Xenopus tropicalis: one gene and its partner. The protein of the gene in region 1 purifies or fractionates together with the protein of each later gene. This does not show direct contact. Links are inferred from orthologs where the notes say so. Each region holds a gene or a part of one and is shown on either strand. Other genes may lie near its edges.

Region 1 (10,781 bases):
AAAATGTTTTCAAGATGAGCAAATGTGCATACCCATTCTTGACCACGCTGTTTAAATTGAGCAGACTATACATCCTCGGCAGTTTACCCTGAATTTATCTTTCTTTGTATTCTTACCTTCTTAAGCAAGACCTATACGGAGAAAATCTGTGTGCACGTGGGGATATTCTGTGTGTATGTAGTCGGCGGCCATCTCGCTCTCTGCTTGGGGATCGCCTCCTCCTCTTCCATGTTTGGACTATGTCCCCTTCTTTAGGTGACCAATACCTCTTTCTTCTGTGCATCTAGTTCAAATAAAGGACTCAAATTAGCATAACTCTCATCTTTCAAATTCTTCTGATAACAAATTAAGTTTAAGTTGTAGAAGGAAGTGTAACCAACCATTTTAATTATTTTTACTCTGATGCTGCATATTAAAGGGGACCTTGTAATTTTATATTATATATATATATATATATATATATATATATATATATATATAAATACACTGTAGGTCATTAAGAGGGGTGGAACTTGATGGACTTTGGGTTTGGTCTTTTTCCAACACAGGATTAACTTTGTTTGTATAGCTTTATTTACTTAGAATTATTTGTGTGCACAATGCTTTACATTTCTACAGTACAGTAAAAATATTACAATACCATGTGTCAAAAGACAAGAATGGGGAATTATTACATTTTATTTAATTTCAAAATATCAATTACAGGAAGACTGAGACTGAGCACATGGGAGCAATCAGGAGACTGAACTGTTCTTAATGATTCGGCCTATGGTAACATATACTGGGCACATTTTCCTTCTGTCTCTGCTCATGCTTATTTATCATATTTGGAGATAGGCCCTTATGAGTTGTCAGTTCCTTGTTTGTTTGATTAATTGGATTCATTTGAGGACTGTGTTACACAAATATGGATTGGTTTCCTTTTAAATTTCCTCGAACACCTATAAATGTTTGTAACTTGTAATTTGCTATACACTTGATAAAGGGCATGCAGCCCAGAACATGTTATGGGAATAAACACTTATTTGCAGCAAGCGCTTCTATTACGGCTTTCTCCCAGCTCCAATCTTATTTTGCAGTACCATACAAAGAGACTTTTTTACATGACAAGATTCGGCTAACCTTTGCAAAAAGCAACCACCTGCCTATTTAAATTAAATCATTTCAGAGACTTGGTGTAGTAACACATGACTTGAAAGACAAATGCAAGTAGTTTGCCTACAATAAAAAAAAAAGCCTAAATGCTTTGGCACACAAATGTATTTGGACAAAACAAGCTACAGCTATACACCTTCCCTTACTTATAAGAAAAACATTTTTTGTAGCTGTAAATATTGTAAAATGCTAATAGCTTAATATATGACCCAAAAGCAAGACAAGAGCAACACCAGAGCAATCTAGCTACCCACAGGTTACACAGGAGAGAACTGTAACCCACCCCTTAAATTGCCAAACACATGTGTCCTCAATACAGAAACAGTTTTGCAAGCAGAATGGGTATACAATCTGGTTTTCACAGTAACACTTTAGACAGACAGACAGACAGACCTCAAAGGAGAAGAAAAGGCTAATAAAGAGTCTCAAGCTACAGGCATACCTTCAGTTGTCTCAATAGTGCCCTTAAGTCTCCCCATATTTTTCCCGTTCAGATGATCAGAAGCCAAACAGGAAGAAAAAACGCTGAGCTGCGTAAAGAAAGTTCCCATAATGCCTCACTCCTGCACCGAGACAGAGACCGAGACCAAGTGTACATGCTCTGTTTGTAAGACTATGAATCAGCTTCCGGCTGATTGGCTCAGATCCACATTCCTAAGGGGGGCGGAGTGAGTTCTTAGCATTCTTGAGGGAGGGGGGAGCAGGAGAGGGGAGAGAGCAGAGAGCTGCGTGTCTCTGGCACATGAATTACAGACACAAGAAATCTTTTGACAGAGAAGTCAGTGCAGAGTTTCTGTGAGTGCTTATGGCTGTATTTACATTGACCTTTCTGATACAGCTTACTTAGTTTTTACCTTTCTTTCTCCTACAATGCTGACAAAGCTAATGCGCCTAAAGATTATAGACTAGTAAACCTTGTACCTTTAGCAGAGATATTTTAATGGGATATTAAAATACGTAGTTCATTGTTAAAGAGCTAATGCTTTTCTATATATAGCATAGAAGTACAATTAGGACATAAACAGTAACACCATTAAGTGGAAATATTTTGTATCTCTTCAACCCTAATTTCAAGCAACAACTGATACATTCAGTGTTAAAAATGTGTTATACACCAAGGCTACAGTAAGAAGCAGCCTGCATACCATATCTAAATCCATTTTTGGGTAACTAAAGACAGCAAAAATGGTAAATGTACTCGCTGACATACAGCAGCAGTAAAGACTGGGAAAATCACTTCACGTTTAAAAAAATGCGAAACAAGATATATTCTATTTATAAATTATTTGTTAAGTTACATTTGTAATATAGATTCCATGTTTACAATGATGACAGTATCATAGCAGGTAGCATATTACATCTACACAAGCCCAGTAGCACAGTAAAATGCCGGTGTACCCAGTTAGACCTGTGAATGTCTCGGCCTCATCAATGCTAGCCATTATTTTAAAATTATTTACTATCTTACATTCAGTGACTCAACAATAGATTATTCTGTCTAAGAATCAGGCAGGAGTAACAATAATGAAATTAATGTTAAATGCAAGTCAGGCTGCCACCATTAGTCACTTTCACAGAATGCTATAAAACAGGCCAAGCTTGTTTTAATATCCTTTTATCTGAATTACTCTCCTCTTTATTGATTAATTTTTACATTTAATCTGCAGACTACAAATTTAAGGCTTGGGTCAGATCAGGGTGGAATTTTATATACTCGATAAGACAGAGTTGTTTTGTTTTTTTTTGTTTTTTTTTAAGAAGACCTATACCTACAAAATGAATACTTAACTAACAGATAATATAAATATCAAACAATCTTTTTATACATAAACATATTCGTAAATGTTACCCTTTTGCAGACCTTGGACCAACTTTTTTGATACTCTGATTTCTCCCTCAGATTACCTGACAGGAAATAATGCAGGTTGTAACCGTAACAGAAAGAAGTGTGGGAGTCAAAAGCAAAGCTCTGTCCATTCATTGGCTGATGTAACCTAGCATGTATGTGTGAGCACAGTGAACTGTATGAGGCAGAGGGCAGCCCATGAATTGGCAATATTCTGTTTAGGGTTTTCCAATGGCATATACTACTAGCAAAGTCTACAACAGTTTATTTAAATTAAGCGGGATTTTACATATAGGCGATTTTATTCAATGTATTTTTATAGAGACCTGACATTTTCAGTGGTATAGTTCCCCTTTATTGAAAGGCTGGTTAAATAAACATGGAGGCAGTGGATATCAGAGATCAAATATTTCCAGGGCTCATTCCGATTGCGTAAACATGGGCATTTAAACCGACATCAACTATTTAATATTATCAATCTATTTTGGTTACAGTGTGGCACTATCCTCTCTCTTTGCCCAAAATATCCATACACATATTTACACAATATCAATTAGAGCACTGGCTATATATCCACGTCCAGCAAAATAAAACTAAATCAGAGTGAATCTGATAAGTCTGCTTGAATTATCTAGTACAGAATCACATACACTTATACAATCTGTATGAGACTGTCGCACCAAAGGAGCAACAAACCGCAGCTCTGATGTATATGAAAGAGAAATCCAATTTCAACTGCCAGTCGATTTCATTCTGTACCAGAAATGTTTTTAGTTTAGTCAGCCCACAGAGTTGGCCCAACTACAATCACTCTGTATAGAAAATGTGATGCAAATTAGTCAGATAAGGCTAATCCATTTCAAACTCCTAAATTGTCTGATCAAATGGATTGTATTTTGACAGGAATGACTATCAGCTGATTAAAGCATTTACCCATATATGACTGTACAATAACTTGGGGCAGAATTGCATGGTAAGCACTTCATATTATATATACATACACCTGTATAGAAGATCTAGACCAGTGCTGTCCAACTTCTGTGGTACCGAGGGCCGGAATTTTTCCGACCTACGTGGTGGAGGGCCGATAATGGAAGCCATTTTGACCACTCCCCTTTTTGAAACTGCACCCACTTGAAACCACACCCGTGTTATCACATGACCATACCCCATGTTTTAGTACAGCAAAAACCTGCCATACTCTGCCTTCCCTACCCGGCCTGCCTGTGCCATACTTGGCCTGCCTGTGCCATACCCTGCCTGCCTGTGCCATACCCTGCCTGCCTGTGCCATACCCTGCCTGCCCTACCCTGCCTGTGTGTACCATACTCTGCCTGCCCTACCATACTCTGCCTGCCCTACCCTGCCTGTGTGTGCCATACTCTGCTTGCCCTATGCTGTATGGCACACACAGGCAGCATACAGTGACACAGTGCTGGCACTGCTCCTACAGTCTGCACAATAACTATATATTAACAAACTTTTTAATTACAGTACTACCTCAGTATATGTTCTTTTTGTAGTGTGCAGGGATTATTTATGGGTTTCTACTGCTCCTACAGTCTGTCTGAGGTGTGAACAGGGGAACAAATTGGGTGATTACAGTCTGAACCTGAGGTGTGAACACTGCAGGGGGTGAACAATGCAGAGATTAAAAGGTGTGAACAGTACAGGGGATTACATTTTTAAACAATACAGAGGGTTTACAGCCTAAATCTGAGGTGTGAACCATGCAGGGGGCCAGTTAATCACAGTACTGATACAATTTAAAGCTTCCATAAGAGTAAAGATGGCCATACACCAGCAGATCCGCTCGCTTGGCGATGTCGCCAAGCGAGCGGATCTTCCCCCGATATCCCCACCTACGGGTGGGCGATATCGGGGACCATTTAGGTAAAAAAAATAATAATCCGATCGTTTGGCCCTGGGGCCAGACGATCGGATTATGTGGGCGGCAATGGGGCAGTCGGATCGGGGACCGCATCAACGAGCCGATGCGGTCCCCGATCCGACCAGATTTTCTAACCTGGCCGATCGAGATCTGGCCAATTTCAGGCCAGATATCGGTCGGCCAGGCCGATCTGCTCTCCCCATACACGGGCCGATTAGCTGCCGAATCGGTCCAAGGGACCGATATCGGCAGCTATAGTCGGCCCGTGTATGGCCACCTTAAGCCATCAAAGCAGCCAGACAGGTGGGGGGGCCACACGGGGGGGGGGGGGGGGGGGTCGCGGGCCGCATGCCAGTTGGACAGCACTGATCTAGACCATGTAATTCTACCAGAAGATGAGGGGGGATGTATACAGAATAACCTATCCCCTATTATAAAATATATGAATATCAGAAGTCATAGAGGAGATCCATGACTATAAAAAAGGACAAGGCTAATGGCCAAGTGCTTTTATACAAGGCAAATTCTAATAGCCTCATATTTTACAACTGGAGATGTACATTTATTTATAATACACGTTTCAGAGAGTAATGTGACTCAAATGACACTAACGCCTATTATAACTAATGGCTAACTTATTGCTAATGGAACTCCTTTGTGACTGGTAATTAGAGATGTAGCGAACTGTTTGCCGGCGAACTAATTTGCGCGAACATCGGGTGTTCGCAGGTTCGCGAACTTTTCGCGCATGTTCGCAATTTGGGTTCGCGTGGCGTTTTTCCGCTGCATTTTTTCTCGCCCTAAAAACGCCGCACAAGCCACACATGGCATTTTTCAGCAAATCCAGTTTCCATGGTGCTAATAGTGCGAAATAGCAAAAAACGCTGCGTATTTCCGCTAGGTCTGCCAGCTGCCTTTGCGTATACATAGGAATAGCTTGCATTTTTACGCAACGCTGTGTCAACAAAGTATTTTTCAGAGAAATTTTTGCCCTTGATCCCCCTCCTGCATGTCACTGTCCAGGTCGTGGCACCCTTTAAACAACTTTAAAATCAGTTTTCTGGCCAGAAATGGCTTTTCTAGGTTTTAAAGTTCGTCTTCCCATTGAAGTCTATGGGGTTTGCGAACTTTCGCACTTTTTGGCGTAGGTTCGTGAACTTTTTTTTTGAGGTTCGCTACATCCCTACTGGTAATATCTTTATATGTTACAAAATGGGGTACATTATTATATAATTCCAGTATTATATATTTTTCTTTTTGTAATGTGAAAGCAATATGCATATTGCATATGTAAATATATTTAGTTAATCTGCACAGCAACTGCAACCAGAAAAAGAACAATATTATGAATGTATAACCCCTCTGGGTCCTGTAATGCTTTGTAGCTCCCAATGCTTTAATAAAGATTTTTGATATTTAACATGGAGTGTGCATGTTACTGGATCTTTTGTGAATGCTACTTTCCTAATATAGCAAAAGCAATATGCTTAATGCTAAATCAGGAAGTGGAATGTGTAGAGCAATTTGCTTCCCAACAATTCCAAATAACGTTATGGTAGTTTATAAAATAAACCATGGAAATGGACCGTCTAGCAAGCAGGGGCGTCCAAAGCATCTACGTATTATGACGGGTTTCTTAAAGTTTACAAGGGGGCGAAAAACGAAGCTATTACGCAGGATGCCAGCACTAGCCATCTCCATCCTCTTGTGAGTGCTTTCCCAGAATGCCTGGCAGTGAGAGAACGAATGGGAGAGCCCATTACTTGGCACCCCTACACTATCCCCGCGGTTCCAATGGGCACTGGATGTGGGGAAGGCAGGCGGGAAATTCTAACGAAGAGAAACGCTAGACGTACCAACACATAACCATGTGTTCATTGCTTTACAATAAAAAAGACATAACAAATGCAGCGATATGTTTTTTCAAACGATAATATTAGCGCCCACGTTAAACAAAGATCTCATTATAAAGGTGCCGGGACTTCCGTGGCGCTAATTGGTACATCACATAATGCGTCTGTTACATTACCGGAGCCCCCAGGAAGCCTATACCAACACCCGCAAAGTAATCAGCCCCTACAGCCAACTTTAAACTTACCACATAAAACTGACGCTCGCATGGAAAACCTTCCAGGAAGTCGTGATGTCATAGCCACGTGACCAAGATGTGCGAGTGGGTGTGACGTCACGTAGAGGGCGTGCCTAGCGCCTGTCCCAGTTCAAAACCTGCGGTACGTCACACTTGAGGGAAGGGATGTCTTGCTAAGCGGCTATGGAAGAGAGCAGAAAATTCAAATATGGCAATGTGGCGATGCGCTGCGCTAGAATGGGTTTGCAAGTGGCAAATAAAAAGAGCAGCGGCTGGCGAGGAGGAACTGTTATCTGTTCCCAGATTTGCTGAGTGAAATCAGACTACACAAATCGGATAAATAAATAGATCACACCCACTTTTTGGCCACACCCCTGTAAAACGCTTCTGAAAGACAATCCAAACACTGAGTCAGGCAAACAGCTGAGAAGAGCAAGGCTTGTTTCACAACACGTATGGGAATAAAATAACTTGTGGGTCCTGACTGCCTGGCATTTTTAATGTTAACTATATTTTCCAATCAAGCACTGCATACCTTCTTCTTACAAAATGAACACAGCTCTACATATACCACTGTGTAATGGAAAGAGCTTTGTATTTTGTACTTTATTGTGCACATATCTTTGTATACTAAGGGACTGATTCATCAAAGTAAGCAAATGTCACGAAAATGCTTACGAAAAATCGTGTTAGTCACTATAATATTGCATTGGTGATCCAAAAGTCACAAAATTTTTGTATCTGAACGATCGTAAACGGCGGGAAAACCTTTCTGAATTTGATCCTTGTGTGCATGATTTTGGAAGCCTCCCATAGGACTCAATGGCACTCTGCAGCTCCAACCTGCCCCAAGGAAAGTCATGATACCGAAGCTTGAATTAATCCAAAATTTTGTTGCTTAATTTAAGTTTGCTTAAAATATGAAAAATTGCGCAAATTAGCAAAAAAAACTGCGAAAATACGCAAGGTACCAAACTATGTTTTTTTGGTATTTGGAGGCAATCATACTTTGATAAATGGGCCCCTTAGATTCCCCCCTCTCAGGGCCTCCTATCAGTCTTCCAAAGAACACTTTACGGGTTGAGGGGAATCCTGGGAGTTTTAGTTATGTAGTAGGTTATGCAGCCTGTGTATTCTTTTACTTGACATAAGTAATTTAAAATCAAGAGGGCTAATCAGAGCAGGGGAACATTCTGTTAAATGACCAAAGTTTTTTTTTTTTACCTCATAGCTACTGAATGGGCCGTAAATATTTAATAAGGTTTGTGACAAATGTGGAATGTGGACTGGAAGTAAAAAGCAGCCAAAGGCAAAAACAAAATCAAAACAACCCACATATAAACACACAACAGTCTTCTACTTTTAAATATATCAGCAAACATATTATCAGCTAACAAATATGTCCAAACTTTGTGTCCTACAGAGGCACATAAATGAAAATAGTGCATATGAATTTAAAGTCTGACACTCTGGCTGCGGCAGTATAAGAACCAGTTGTGTGTATTATGTGCCATAAGACCCCCTAACAGCAAGCAGACCCTAGGAAGTACACATTCTGACAAATCCAAAATGGGTAAATGCATTTTATTACCGCAATCTACCAAACTGCATAGATATGCTAAACAGTGTTTTTTAGGAAATATATCGTCACAAACCTTACATTTTACCCAATTATATACCTCACTTTTTTGTAACATACCAGCATAAAACTTGCTGAATATGAATGCCAGGGGACTACTGAACAGTTTGATGCCCAATATGCATAGATTTACCAAACTTATACTGTATGGCCTACATGTATGTGTATTATGTGCCATAAGACCACGTAACAGTATGGAGACCTTAGAAAACCATTTATTTTCTGAAGATACTAAGAACTTAAATGGGTAAATATGTCTCTTCTGCAAACTAGAAAGCTATGCCAAATGTTTTTTACCCCATCATATGCCAAACATTTTGTAATGCACCAACATAAAACATCCTAAATATGAATACTAGGGGTCTACTAAACAGTTGGATGTCCAATATGCATAGATTCACCAAACTATGTGGCATACAGAGGCACTCAAATGGATATACAGCAGGCAAATTTTCCAGGGGCTCCCCTATTACAAACAGCACAGCAATATTCATACAAGTTCCTTTTGGATTGTTTGGCGGTCTGGGTGCAGCGCCACAGAACCGTAGCTATGGGGAGAATACAATCAATCCAAACCATAATGGTGTGCACACCTGGTTCTGGAGCTTTTTGGTGACCTCTTTTGTTATAATTTACAAAAAGGAAAGGGGGTCTTTTTCAAGTTTTCATAGGGGGGTATTTTAGAATCTGTGGGTCAGGCAAAAGGAATTGCATTGTATACTATTTATATCAGTAATGTTAAATCAGTGAAAAAAGGTAGAAATATGGAGTTTACCTAATATAAGTACTATACATTTCAACATACCCTTGCAAAGTGCAGGGGTATATGAAGGTGAATGCTACATGTATGTAAGGAAGTCAGACAATCCTTTTAAAACCAAAAATGCCAATTGTGTTCCTCCCCTGACACGTTATATTTACGCGCGCTCAGGGGAGGACATCAGGCGGGGGGCCCTGCAGAGGGTAAGGGCCCCTGGGGCGGCTGGATAGGGATTGGCGGATACTCAGGATTGGTAATGTGAATATGCATCAACAAGGAGAGCCTGGGAAGCAGTACATATATTCTGATTATCAGAAATCACAGGGCCTATACAACAAAATTATTTGCCCCCCCCAGACCTGTTTCTAATATACATTTATTAAAACATCTGTACCATTTTTATAAATGAATAAATAAATATCTTGCCTGTGATTCTGGTACAGACAGGATATAGAATAAAGCCTGAGAAAAAAGCCTAATTTGTGCTTTTTAAGATTTGAGAAAGGAATCTCATTCAGTAATAATTTAAATTTTACCAGTGGGGAACTACACCATGAGACAAAGTTTGTACAGCTGCACAGGGCTTAGATGGGTGAAGTTTAAACTTGCCCCCCAGTCCACCCAACAAGGCCTGGATTTGTGGAGAAGACACAAAGGCCCGGGCCAAGGGCGGCACAAATTTTGGGGCGCTGCAGCACCAAAATGTTAAAATTATTGGAGCAATGGGGACCTCTCCCATTTAAACTTCTGCGCATGTGCTCTCACGGGGGGGGGGGGTGTTGCTGTTTGCGTATACATGAATAGGGACAGCCTAGGGGCGCCCGGATAAGAAATCCAGCGCTGCATCCAATCCCTATGTGACTTTACTGGGACTTACACTTCATTGACAAATAAGCAGTATACAAAGCTGTTAGAGAAAAGACCCTTCCTTCCAAAGTGCAGCTCACAGCGGGGGGGGGTCCAGTTAATCAAGTAAATGTAGCACTGCTGGGCCTTCTAAGACCCCAAAATCCACCAGGCCTGGGTCAACTGTCGCCCACCGATGCACAGAGACCACCCCCATTCCCCACCTCCTCTACCCCCTGACCAGGATCATATGCATGCGCCTCCATTTAGCTCACTTACGGAGCACTGGGGACACGAAGCGCTGAATTTTTCTGCACATCCTCTCCCCAGTTCTCTGCATGTGAGCAAAATTTAGGAATGGCAGGGTGACATGCTGCCCCTAAAATTGTGCCGCCCTAGGCCCGGGTCTTTGTGGCCTTGCCACAAATCCGGGACTGCCCCCACCCCGATGGTTGCCCTGCTTATATCTGTCACAAGACTTACCCAGTTATATGGAGATGTTATCAGTCTTCATTTTCTCTTTTTGGTGTCAGTGCTTTTTTGTAACCAGTAGAG
Region 2 (10,262 bases), about 6.5 Mb from region 1:
AAATAAAATATTTTTCATGTCAAAAAACCCCTAACTGCAACTCTTTGTAAAAGTATACTTTTGCTCACAAACACCACACTTTTTTTCTGACAGAAAGTCATCAGCATCCCTTTAATGTGACCCATTTCAACCATGCGATGTGCAGTTGCATCGTGGATCTTAATCCCAGGTCAGTACTAACATTTCCATCCCACAGGCCAATTATCAGCTACTTCACATTTGGGGCCAGATTATAAAACAATGGCATACAATCAGGTCTACAGAAATGGGGTCACAGAAATACCTTGTAGGACCACATCCAGCCTGCAGACTACCAGTTAGACAGCTCTATCCTAGTTCAACTGAGATTGTAACCCAACCTTTGTACATTTGCACCATGACCCTCAGTATGGTCCTAGATCAAAGGGTTAGGGCAAGAAATAAATTAAAAGAGGCAGCACAAGTTTTATGTGCCAATCAGTTGTGTATATATTAATGACTTAACTCCTTCAAATCTGTTCTTGTGCATGAAGGTGGAAATAGAAGCCAACAGAAGCCAAATGCGAATAAATAAAAAAAAAAAAAAGGATGACTTCATCTCATTTTTTAAATTTTATTTTGCACGTTTGTCTTGTTTCATTTCACAGAAAGTTTAGCTCCATTATTTCAGTTTTTCTGTTTGCTGCCACGCAAATCCCAACTCCATCGGCCATTGATATTTAAACGGCTGTATTTTCTTTTTTTTTTTCATTTTATTCCTTTTTCTTTTTTTCTTTATATTTTGTTTATTTTTTTTATTTTAAAACGAGTCCATCAAGGAAAGCTCTAACCCCTTTATCCCCACCTCCTTTACCTGATTCATCCCATCTCAAAATTCTAATGCGGTGCCCAGGGACCCCACACTGCTTTGAGAACCCCTTCATCCCCGAGGTCTAGGAATACCCGGCTCTACTGGGGGAATCCCTTGCCAGTGTACAGCTGGCTGGCTGGCTGCTCACAGATTGCCTTATTGCTGTGGAAGAGGACAGAGTGGCTTCGTCTTATGGCCATTGCAATTCACCACAGCTCTGTACGGAACATTGACCCTGTTCAGAAGTGAAGGGTTTAAACTTTAAAGCTCTTTTTTTCCCAGTTTTCATTTTAGATTCTTCAGCACACGTAACACAGGGACGCTTTCCTCAAAGCTCGCCTGATATTCATTTCGCTGACTATTGCTCTGCGTCCCCCTTTTGGCATGACACACACTAGGGGGTTATAGAAGCCGTTCCACAATGGTTCTCTGAAGGTGCCATCTGAGTAGACTGGGTAACCTGCCATCGCTGAGGGTAAAGAAGAGCACAACTGTAAGCAAAGTGAACCCCAGCAGGAAAAATTTACAGTTTCTCTCATATGCAGTCCAGTAACTACCCAATAAACTAATGCAAACACCAAACTCAAATCGACATTTCTTTGAACTACTGATCTTCTGTTACTTTTACTAGGAAATTACCTGGTAATGTTGTTTTTCTTTTAAAAAGTATTAGACACAATTCCCTGCAAACTATAACAGATTGATCCCCGCTGTAAAAACTGATGAAAGACACATTTGTGTGACTATCACTAGAGTATGAAGAAAAGCCCTGGCAACAAAATGCCAGGCAATAACCTGCCATGATAGCACCCTTCTGCATGTCACACTATGCATATTGTTGTATTTTAGGCCTAGTCTGCATTTCCATGCACCAGATTAATCAGCCACAAGTGCCTTTAGCTTTCCTTTCCTAACCTGGATATAAAATTGCAAGTGGTATTGTGGCCAGCAGGGATTTGACCGATGTCATTTAGCTAAAGAGAGACTAATATATGGACAGCGGTATTTTTAAGGAACTAGTTCTATACGTACCTATGAAGGCAGGCCTTACGAGGGAGCACAGCTATCGGAATAACCTGGTGAAATCTCTCAGAGCCCAACATACCTGTTTACATTCCTCAGCACTGAAAAAAACAAATACAACAATCCCAACCATAAAGAATTATGATGAAATAAACAAGTAGTATCAAGCCCTGTTCGGTTTGCAACTGGATGCATATATACCAGATCTTTAGTAAAATACATATTCTTTGAAAAGCCTAATAACTATGAATACCAGTATGATATTGTGTAACATATTTAAAACAATGAAAAAAATACAAAAAGGTTAAATTTTATGTTGTGAGGCAAAAAGCAAAAAGTTGAAATAAAACTGGTTAACACATCACACATATTAAGGCATTTCTGTATTTAAAGTTGCCTAACATGCCTAGATATGATTGGGCAGTTTGCCCAATTTTGACCATATGTCAGCGTGGGGTTTGGTTTTGAGAGATGATCTATTACTGGATATGTAATCTTCCAAGTACCGTGGCAACAGGATCACAGTACATCAGCAGATGAGAAAGTGAAGGAAAGGCAGAGATCCCCTTTACACCCAGCATCCAGTTCATTTTTTTAAAAAAACAAAAAAAAAACATCCTAGAGGAAAAGTGATCTTATTCATTAGGGGTACAAATAGTCACACCCCTCCCCAGTGATTTTAATGTTTGTTCACTCTTCCTCTGCCAACCAAAATTAGAAAAGTGAATATCCTTCTGGTATGCTGCCATCAGTAGGTTCATTTTGGGTCAGAAATGTGCTTTTACTTCTGATGGCTTATAAAACATCTTCTCAAACTTTAGCCAGAATAAACATACACTTTTCAGAAAAGAGGGAAGTTTAGAGACATCACAGAGTATATGAAGCCTCTAAAAACCACTAAAGCCCACCTCCAAACCACTCCGCGTGCCCGCACCCAGGTGGTTACTTTCGTTTTTTAGTGCAGGCACATGGCGCAGCAGAGGCAAGCAGATTCGCTGCTCCCAGCCTGACTAAAAAACACAAGGGTTGAGAGCAGCAGATATATGCACCGTGTACCCATGCCCTAATGGTGAAGGCAGACAGAGCTGTTATCTGTTATGCAACATGTGTGCCATCCCACTGGCGATTTACATTCTTGCTGGTGGGATGGCATTGCAGGGAGATAAGTTACTTGCGGCAACGAAGATTTGTTGCGGGGCGACTAATCTCCCCGTCTGTCACTGCGCTAAACACTTACAGAAGCAATATTAGCATATTAGCAACTAATTCTGATGTCAAAATATATTTTAAAAAATTCTCTGTTATGACTCTGTTATTTACAGTTTGGTCCAGGCAAAGAGGATACTACAAAAAACGGGGAGGAGTAAAATTATGATGGGTAAAGGCATAAGTGATGTAATTTTTGTGCTTTCTTAATGGAGCTATAACCCTTAGATCAACAAAAAGTAGTGAAAACATTCCATGTAAGTGCAGTCCTGTTTGCATTGATGCCATTCAGTTAATTCAACAAATCACATGAACGTCTCCCCATCACATCTATCAGGGGTAATGACATGGCTCTATATTCCTGACTGAATTGCTGGACCAAAGAGAAATAACTGACACCGATTCACATCAAATGGAGCTGAAAATGAATCATATATACATTGTATTTTAGCAAAACTACTATTTCAGTGAAGACTGACTTGACTAAACTGTGTCTAATATGAATATTTCCTAGTAGCCATATTCTTTTCTGTTTAAGAAATTATGCTCGTACCTTGTGACTTGTTTGTGGAAATCTGTTAATTGTTTGTGTGTGACTGTTGCTGCTCCCACTGCCATGTCCTTTGGTAAGTTCTTCAGAGAAGCTTCCAACCAACGACAAAATGTCTGTAAACACAAATTGTTTCTCAAATTCTGTACTTCCCCAGCAAAAAAATGATACATTCCCATGCTATAGTAAAATACATATATATCTTTATATAAGGCAGGGATCCCCAACCTTTCTTACTTGTGAGCCACAGTCAAATGTAAAATGACTTGGAGAGCAACACAAGCACCATAAAGGTTCAAGGAGGTGCCAAATAAGGGTTACGATTGGCTATTAGGGGCCTCTATGCACACTATCAGCTTACAGGAGGCTTTATTTGGCAGTAAATCTTGTTTTTATTCAGCCAAAACTTGCCACCAAGTCAGGAATTGAAAAATAACTACCGGTACTTGGTTTTGAGGCACTGAGAGTAACATCCAAGGGGTTGGGGAGCAACATGTTGCTCACGAGCCACTGGTTGGGGATCACTGATATAAGGGAATGGGTGGTAATAGAAAAGGGCTTTAAAGGACATCAACCCAAAAAATAAGGATGTAGGCTGAAGGCATGCTAAGGACAGCTGACTACTGCTATGTTTTATTTGAAATAACTTTTAAAGCACTAAATCCATATTGGAAAGTTGCTTAGAATTATATTTTCTTTTATTAGATTCACTTAGATTCCAAGCTCTACAGGGCAGGGACCTCCTTCCTACTTTGTTTAACACCACATGGCACTTAATCTCTGTATATTTATACTTAATTATTGTATTTATTATAACACTTGTCCTCCCAGTGTGTAATTGTGTATATTGTAAGATTGTACAGCACTGCCTATCCTTATTTAAACATACATATTACGTATGTAATAAAACCTTATTTTTTGGGTTGATGTCCTTAAAAAGATTGTTTCTTTGGAATGCATTATTCTAAATGCCTACACAAGTGATGCCTACCTTGCCCCTGGAATCTCTTACAATTAGAACTAGTGCAAATGAAGGCCTCCAATACTTGCCATAAAATGGATGTATTTTCTGTGTGCTAAAATTATCTGTGTTTATACTTACCGGCCTATTAAAGACCATAGCTTCCCAGAGAACCTCTGCCACATCAGGGAGCGTGTAGGGTGGAAGGCAGAAGCAGCAAGCATGGATAAGCTGGCTTACCAACTGCTGCCCTACTTGAGTCAGAACTTGTTGGATTAAGTCCTTACGAATCTCAAAGTTTTCTTCATGCTGTATAGAAACATTGAAGGCTTATTGTAAAAGTGGAGTTGTTACGGTGACACAGCAATCTTGGTACCATGTACTGGGGTCCCTATCCAGTTTTGTATTAAAGTCTGTTGCATGCAACCGAGTAATGAAGTTTGCATTCCCTAGTAAACCCATAGTAAGCAGTTAAGTGGGTGCTGCTAAAACACTTTGAGCCCACAGAGCAAAACAGACTGGCTCCCCATCCCCCTACAATTACAGTGTGCATCTGTTGAACAGAATTCTAAGACTTTATGTTAAATTAATGAGATAAGAGAATTTACTGCATTTCCTTTTAAGAGATTATCAAGAAAAAAATTAGTTTTGACAGATTTTAGCCGTAACTTTCTGCAGACACTCCTTGGTGGCCAGAACATTACATCTGTCTCCTCTAGCTTACATTCCTCTCTGCATGGTGGCCATATTATAACAGAAGGTATAGAAAAGGATACTTATCTGCAGCACATAAAAATTATGAACAATGTTACATAGTTACATAGGGTTGAAAAAAGACCCCAAAAAAAGCACACACAACCTATACTTACTAATCTATACTATCATATACATAAAATAAATAAATAAATATAAATAAATCACAATAGCCTTTGGATACTATGCTTGTTCAAGAACTCATCCAGGCCCCTCTTAAAGGCACGTTGAACCAAGTTTTCCTCTGAATTAAGTCAAATAACTTATTTCTGCCAGCAAAGCAATTACAGTGTGGAAAAGAAATGAACATAAATAGGGAGGGAAAAGATAAAAATGTATTATGTGCTAAAGCACTTACATCATTGGACACCCCGGTGTGTATTAGATCACGCAGGAACTTCATGACGCTACAGTTGGCATCCCGGTGGTCTAGTGTAGAGGCAGCTATAGCCCACCGCAACACATGGATCACAACCTGACTGCGCAGCAGGACGATGGGACAGCGCTGTACGAACCTGGAAGGGAGTGATATGGGAAAATATGGAAAGAGATATGGAATAGAGTCAAAACACCCCTGTCAACTTGTCACTAATCTTTAAAGGAGAAAGAAAGGTAAAAACTAAGAAAGCTTTATCAGAAAGGTCTATGTAAATACAGCCATAAGCACTCACAGAAACGCTGCACTGACTTCTCTGTCAAAAGATTTGTTGCGTCTGTTTTCCTCTGCCAGAGACATGCAGCTCTCTCCTGCTCCCCCCTCCCTCAAGAATGCTAAGAACTCACTCCCCCCCCTTAGGAATGTGGATCTGAGCCAATCAGCAGGAAGCTGACTCAGTCTTACTAACTGAGCATGTTCACTTGGTCTGGGTGTCTGTGCAGGATTGAGGCATTATGGGAACTTTCTTTACACAGCTCAGCGTTTTTTCTTCCTGTTTGGCTTCTGATTATCTGAACAGGCGAAATATGGGGAGACTTAAGGGCACTATTGAGACAACTAAAGGTATGCCTGCAGCTTGAGATCTTTATTAGCCTTTCCTTCTCCTTTAAAGCAGCAAATGGAAAGAATGTTGCACTCACACAAGTGAACCTTAGAGCTAAAATGCTTGCTTGAGAATTGAGTAGTGGGGGCAGGTGGGACAGAGGGGTTCATATGCTGCTGTATTACACCCTAGGGCAGTGGCAGACAAAATGCCCATTGAACAAAATAAGAACCCTGCCCAATATTAGGTTCTACTTGCATAATTAATAACAGATGTCATAAATCACAATAATGTAAGCTTCTGAAGAACAGTTACTAGGACAGGACTGAATTAACAATAGCTTGAGGAAACATTATTATGTTACCGTAAGCTGTTTTACCCATTGAGTGACACCTACATATAGGACCATGAATTTCTAGCTCTGTAGATAGTAGGATTCTCTATGGAATTTGTTTGCTATAACAACTTGTTTGCAGACAGATGCATCCTTTGTATTCAGCCTGGATAAAATATGCTTTTTATCATGTAATTCCATATACTGGTGGTTTTACAATTCCTGTAAGCATTCCTATTCTTCCCTCTTCTTGTTTGCAAGCCAAAAATGTTATCTGGTTGTCAGGGTCACCTATAGTGAGGCTTCAATTTTATTCTTATCCTTGAGAACAATCCACAGGCATGTCTGCACTGCACTGCCAAGGTTACCTGGTAAACAGTCGGAATAGATCATCTACAGTGTCTGGGTGATTTCGGAGACCATTTTGCTGCTCCAGTAGTTGAAACGTTGGGACACATAAAGCCTAAAATTAGAATAGCATGAGATATATTACTTTGCCAATACAGCAAATGTTAAGGAGATTTGATTATTTAATTTTTGTTACTGATACTAAGTGTACAAAACGGTCACAGGACAGTAAAATGCTAAAAATGATGAGGATGCCAGAGACTGATTCAAACACTGCAGATGACAACATTTAGTTTTTGTTCCTTCTTGGTTAGTACAATGCAGAACAGAAAAAAGCCGACCTGTAACATATCCAACAGTCCCTGCTGACAGCCCTCCTCCATTCCATATTCATCCACTAGGATACTGCCAAGGTACAGGAAGCATGAGTGCTGGTGAATATGGTACACCTCTACCATCTGAAAAAATTAAAATAAAAAAACAAATATAACCAAACACCCGTTCATATATACACAAAAATGCATTTCTTTTTCTTCCAGGCATTTCTTTTTTTTGGGGGGAGACGGCTTAAAACTTAGCTACAATGCAGTCTGTGCTGTAACCCAGGACAAAGCAATTATCAGTATGTATATAGCAGCTCCTGATCCTAACCGATATATATGGTCTCATTTACAAAACAGGCACAATCCCAATTTTTCTTTCCATGTCACACTTTGCCTTGCTGGCTGTACTTCCTATAGAGACAATGCACTGCAAAAAGGAGCTTTGCAAGCACTGCATGCTATGGGGCATTGGATAGGTGTTCCCAAGCAATAAGTGCAGGGCTTTATTTACTCTGAGTGCTGCACTCTGGTTAGTACTATATTTTTACTGCAGTAGCTTAGACTACAGCTTCCACCTGGCACGCATAACAGCACAAATGCTTATGGGTGAAATTTTTGTTTTGTGAATGAGCCCTAATATGTGTTGCATCTAGATAGATACTAAAAGATTTGTATCAGCACCTCTTTTATAAAATATTTAAGTTAACCATTTTTAGGAGACAGTTTATTAATAAGTTCAATTTAATTTTAACATTAATTCAGACCTATTGAAAAAAGTGTTAATGGACGTGATATTCTAGTTAGCATAGCCTGGTAGCACTAAATGTTGGGATGCATCACAGTACCTGTGTTACTAATGGTTGGAGGAGCGCAGCAGATCCTTTCCCTACACAGCGCACAGCAAAACGAAGGCATCGGCAACAGCGCTCAACAATTCGATTGTCAGCGCGGTGCTTGTTCATGGTTTCTGACAACACAGGCCAGATCTTTTAAAAGAAAAAAAAAACAAAACAAAAAACTCATTATCATTATCATCATCATTATTATGTTCAATAACTGGCATACAATTGTTATAGGAAACAAAGCATTGTTTTCATGTGAGTAGGCATAGGGTTATACATCCCACCATATCAAAAGAGAACAAAACCCTTATAGCTTTCCCCTTCCACACTATTGGGTCCCCCTAAAATTCAGCTTTTGCTGTACTTGGTCCTAAAACTAAACAAGAAGACAAGTGAGATTAGCCACCCTCTGAATATGCAACAGGTCCTATTCTCTGAGATCTCTCAAGACAGGACTGAGTGGCCTGGATATTATTGTGGTGTGGTCAGAAAAATGCTGGGCCATTTCCTAATGTTTCTCACAGCCTATAACTATGCCAGTACAAGTAACCCCTATACTAATCACAACTGAGTAAAAAATTACAGGTGCAATGTCCCTTAAAGAGGACCTAAAAAAAAAAAAAAAAAAAAAAAGACATAAAAAGCTGTATAATATAATCCTTTTCAAATGAAACACGAAACCCAAAATCATTTTTATATTAATACATCCAAACCCATTATAAAGGCAATTAAAAATCCCAGCTATCAATCACATATTGCTTGCCCAGCCTGTATGCCTTAGGCATAGAGGCGGGGCAGACAATACCTTTAGCTTTCCGTTCAGCACTACCTATATGTCAGTGCACATCTCACTTTTCCCCTCCCTCTTCCTCATCATTTAATTGTGTAGCCAGTGCATGGGCACGGGCATCTGGTCCCCCATTCTGGCACATAAACTAGATTTTGGCATGATACAAAGCTTGGCTTCATAAGTGTCCACAAAATGGTGCCTGCCTGCTTGCAGTGATTGAGTAATTCCAAGACGGAAGGAAACAAGATATATTATATTATTTATATAGAGTAAGTAAAGTTTATTTTGCTCAACTAACAATATAGAAAATAATTTGGAGTTATTTCTTAGGGTGACAGGTCCCCTTTAAATGCTTTTTTTTTTTTTTTAAATAAACTTCAACTTACCTGCTTCACACCTAAACAGCAAGAAAATCTAGCAATCACTGCACAGAGTAGCCGGCTGCATAACATCTCCTGTGCTACCCTGATCTAAATTAGCAGCGTAACAAAAAGCATACAAAAGAAATTGACATGTGCTTGTGTGGTAGGTAACTCAGGCTGTAAACCTGACTGAGGAATATGAATGATCCTGAGGTTCCTTACTTCCTGGATGACTTTTTGGCACGGGTGGGTCTGTCCATTCTCCACTATAGGGTTGGTATGCCTAAAAATGAGAAAAGATAGTGGTACATAGTGACAGTTAAAAAATATTCTGAGGAGTTTGCCGCATCCTAAGGAGAGTCTTAAAAGCCTACAGTTAGGTATAGAGTTGTGGCCAAACATATTGGCACCTTTGCACTTTTTTCAATAATGCACCAGTTCTGCAATAAAACTGTTGAACATAAGCTATAGTAATTACATATGTAAGTCTTGTGTTTTGCAGTGGAACAGCACAAAAAAAGCTGGAAAAAAATATTAATTTTATCTTTTAGATACAACAAGCATCCTAAAAAGCCCTGTACAAAATTAATGCCAGCTTTCAGAGGTTAAATTAAATATTTTTTCAAGCAGATGACTCTCCTTTAACTAATAAGTAAACACTAGTGAACTGTAATGCAAAATGTCTGCAATAACAGAAGCACAAATTCAAAGTCAGTCTGAATGGAGAAAACTTGTTTCTCATTCTGCTGCATTGTGTCTGTTGTACCATGTTGAACAAAAAGACCCATTTTAATTAATGCAAGTATTGATGTAGGGCTGACTCAGAAGGAAGTTTAAAGTAGACTAAAAATGGGAAAGCAAACAGAAGTCCAGGACCTCTTGGTATTCACCCCCAGCTTCTATAAGAGCTTAGCTCTGAGGATGCCAAATCACTTTATTTAGCAATCCAGAATTTTATGAT

What was found. The genes of interacting proteins can lie anywhere in the genome.
Region 2: the proteins of clk3 (region 1) and tnpo3 purify together in Homo sapiens (affinity purification with mass spectrometry; 4 studies listed by BioGRID and IntAct, counting the BioPlex papers as one, with this or other methods). This does not show direct contact. The link is inferred for Xenopus tropicalis from reciprocal best matches to the Homo sapiens genes CLK3 and TNPO3.

Annotation. Positions count from the first base shown.
Region 1 is NC_030679.2:94,246,633-94,257,413, forward strand, and holds the start of clk3 (dual specificity protein kinase CLK3), read right to left. Parts: upstream 7,035-10,781; 5' UTR 6,991-7,034; intron 284-6,990; coding exon 117-283; intron 1-116. UniProt on the Homo sapiens protein: Dual specificity kinase acting on both serine/threonine and tyrosine-containing substrates. Phosphorylates serine- and arginine-rich (SR) proteins of the spliceosomal complex.
Region 2 is NC_030679.2:87,731,680-87,741,941, forward strand, and holds the end of tnpo3 (transportin-3), read right to left. Parts: intron 9,585-10,262; coding exon 9,524-9,584; intron 8,294-9,523; coding exon 8,153-8,293; intron 7,443-8,152; coding exon 7,326-7,442; intron 7,100-7,325; coding exon 7,005-7,099; intron 5,838-7,004; coding exon 5,681-5,837; intron 4,879-5,680; coding exon 4,711-4,878; intron 3,725-4,710; coding exon 3,612-3,724; intron 1,954-3,611; coding exon 1,893-1,953; 3' UTR 1,862-1,892; intron 1,299-1,861; 3' UTR 579-1,298; downstream 1-578. UniProt on the Homo sapiens protein: Importin, which transports target proteins into the nucleus. Specifically mediates the nuclear import of splicing factor serine/arginine (SR) proteins, such as RBM4, SFRS1 and SFRS2, by recognizing phosphorylated SR domains.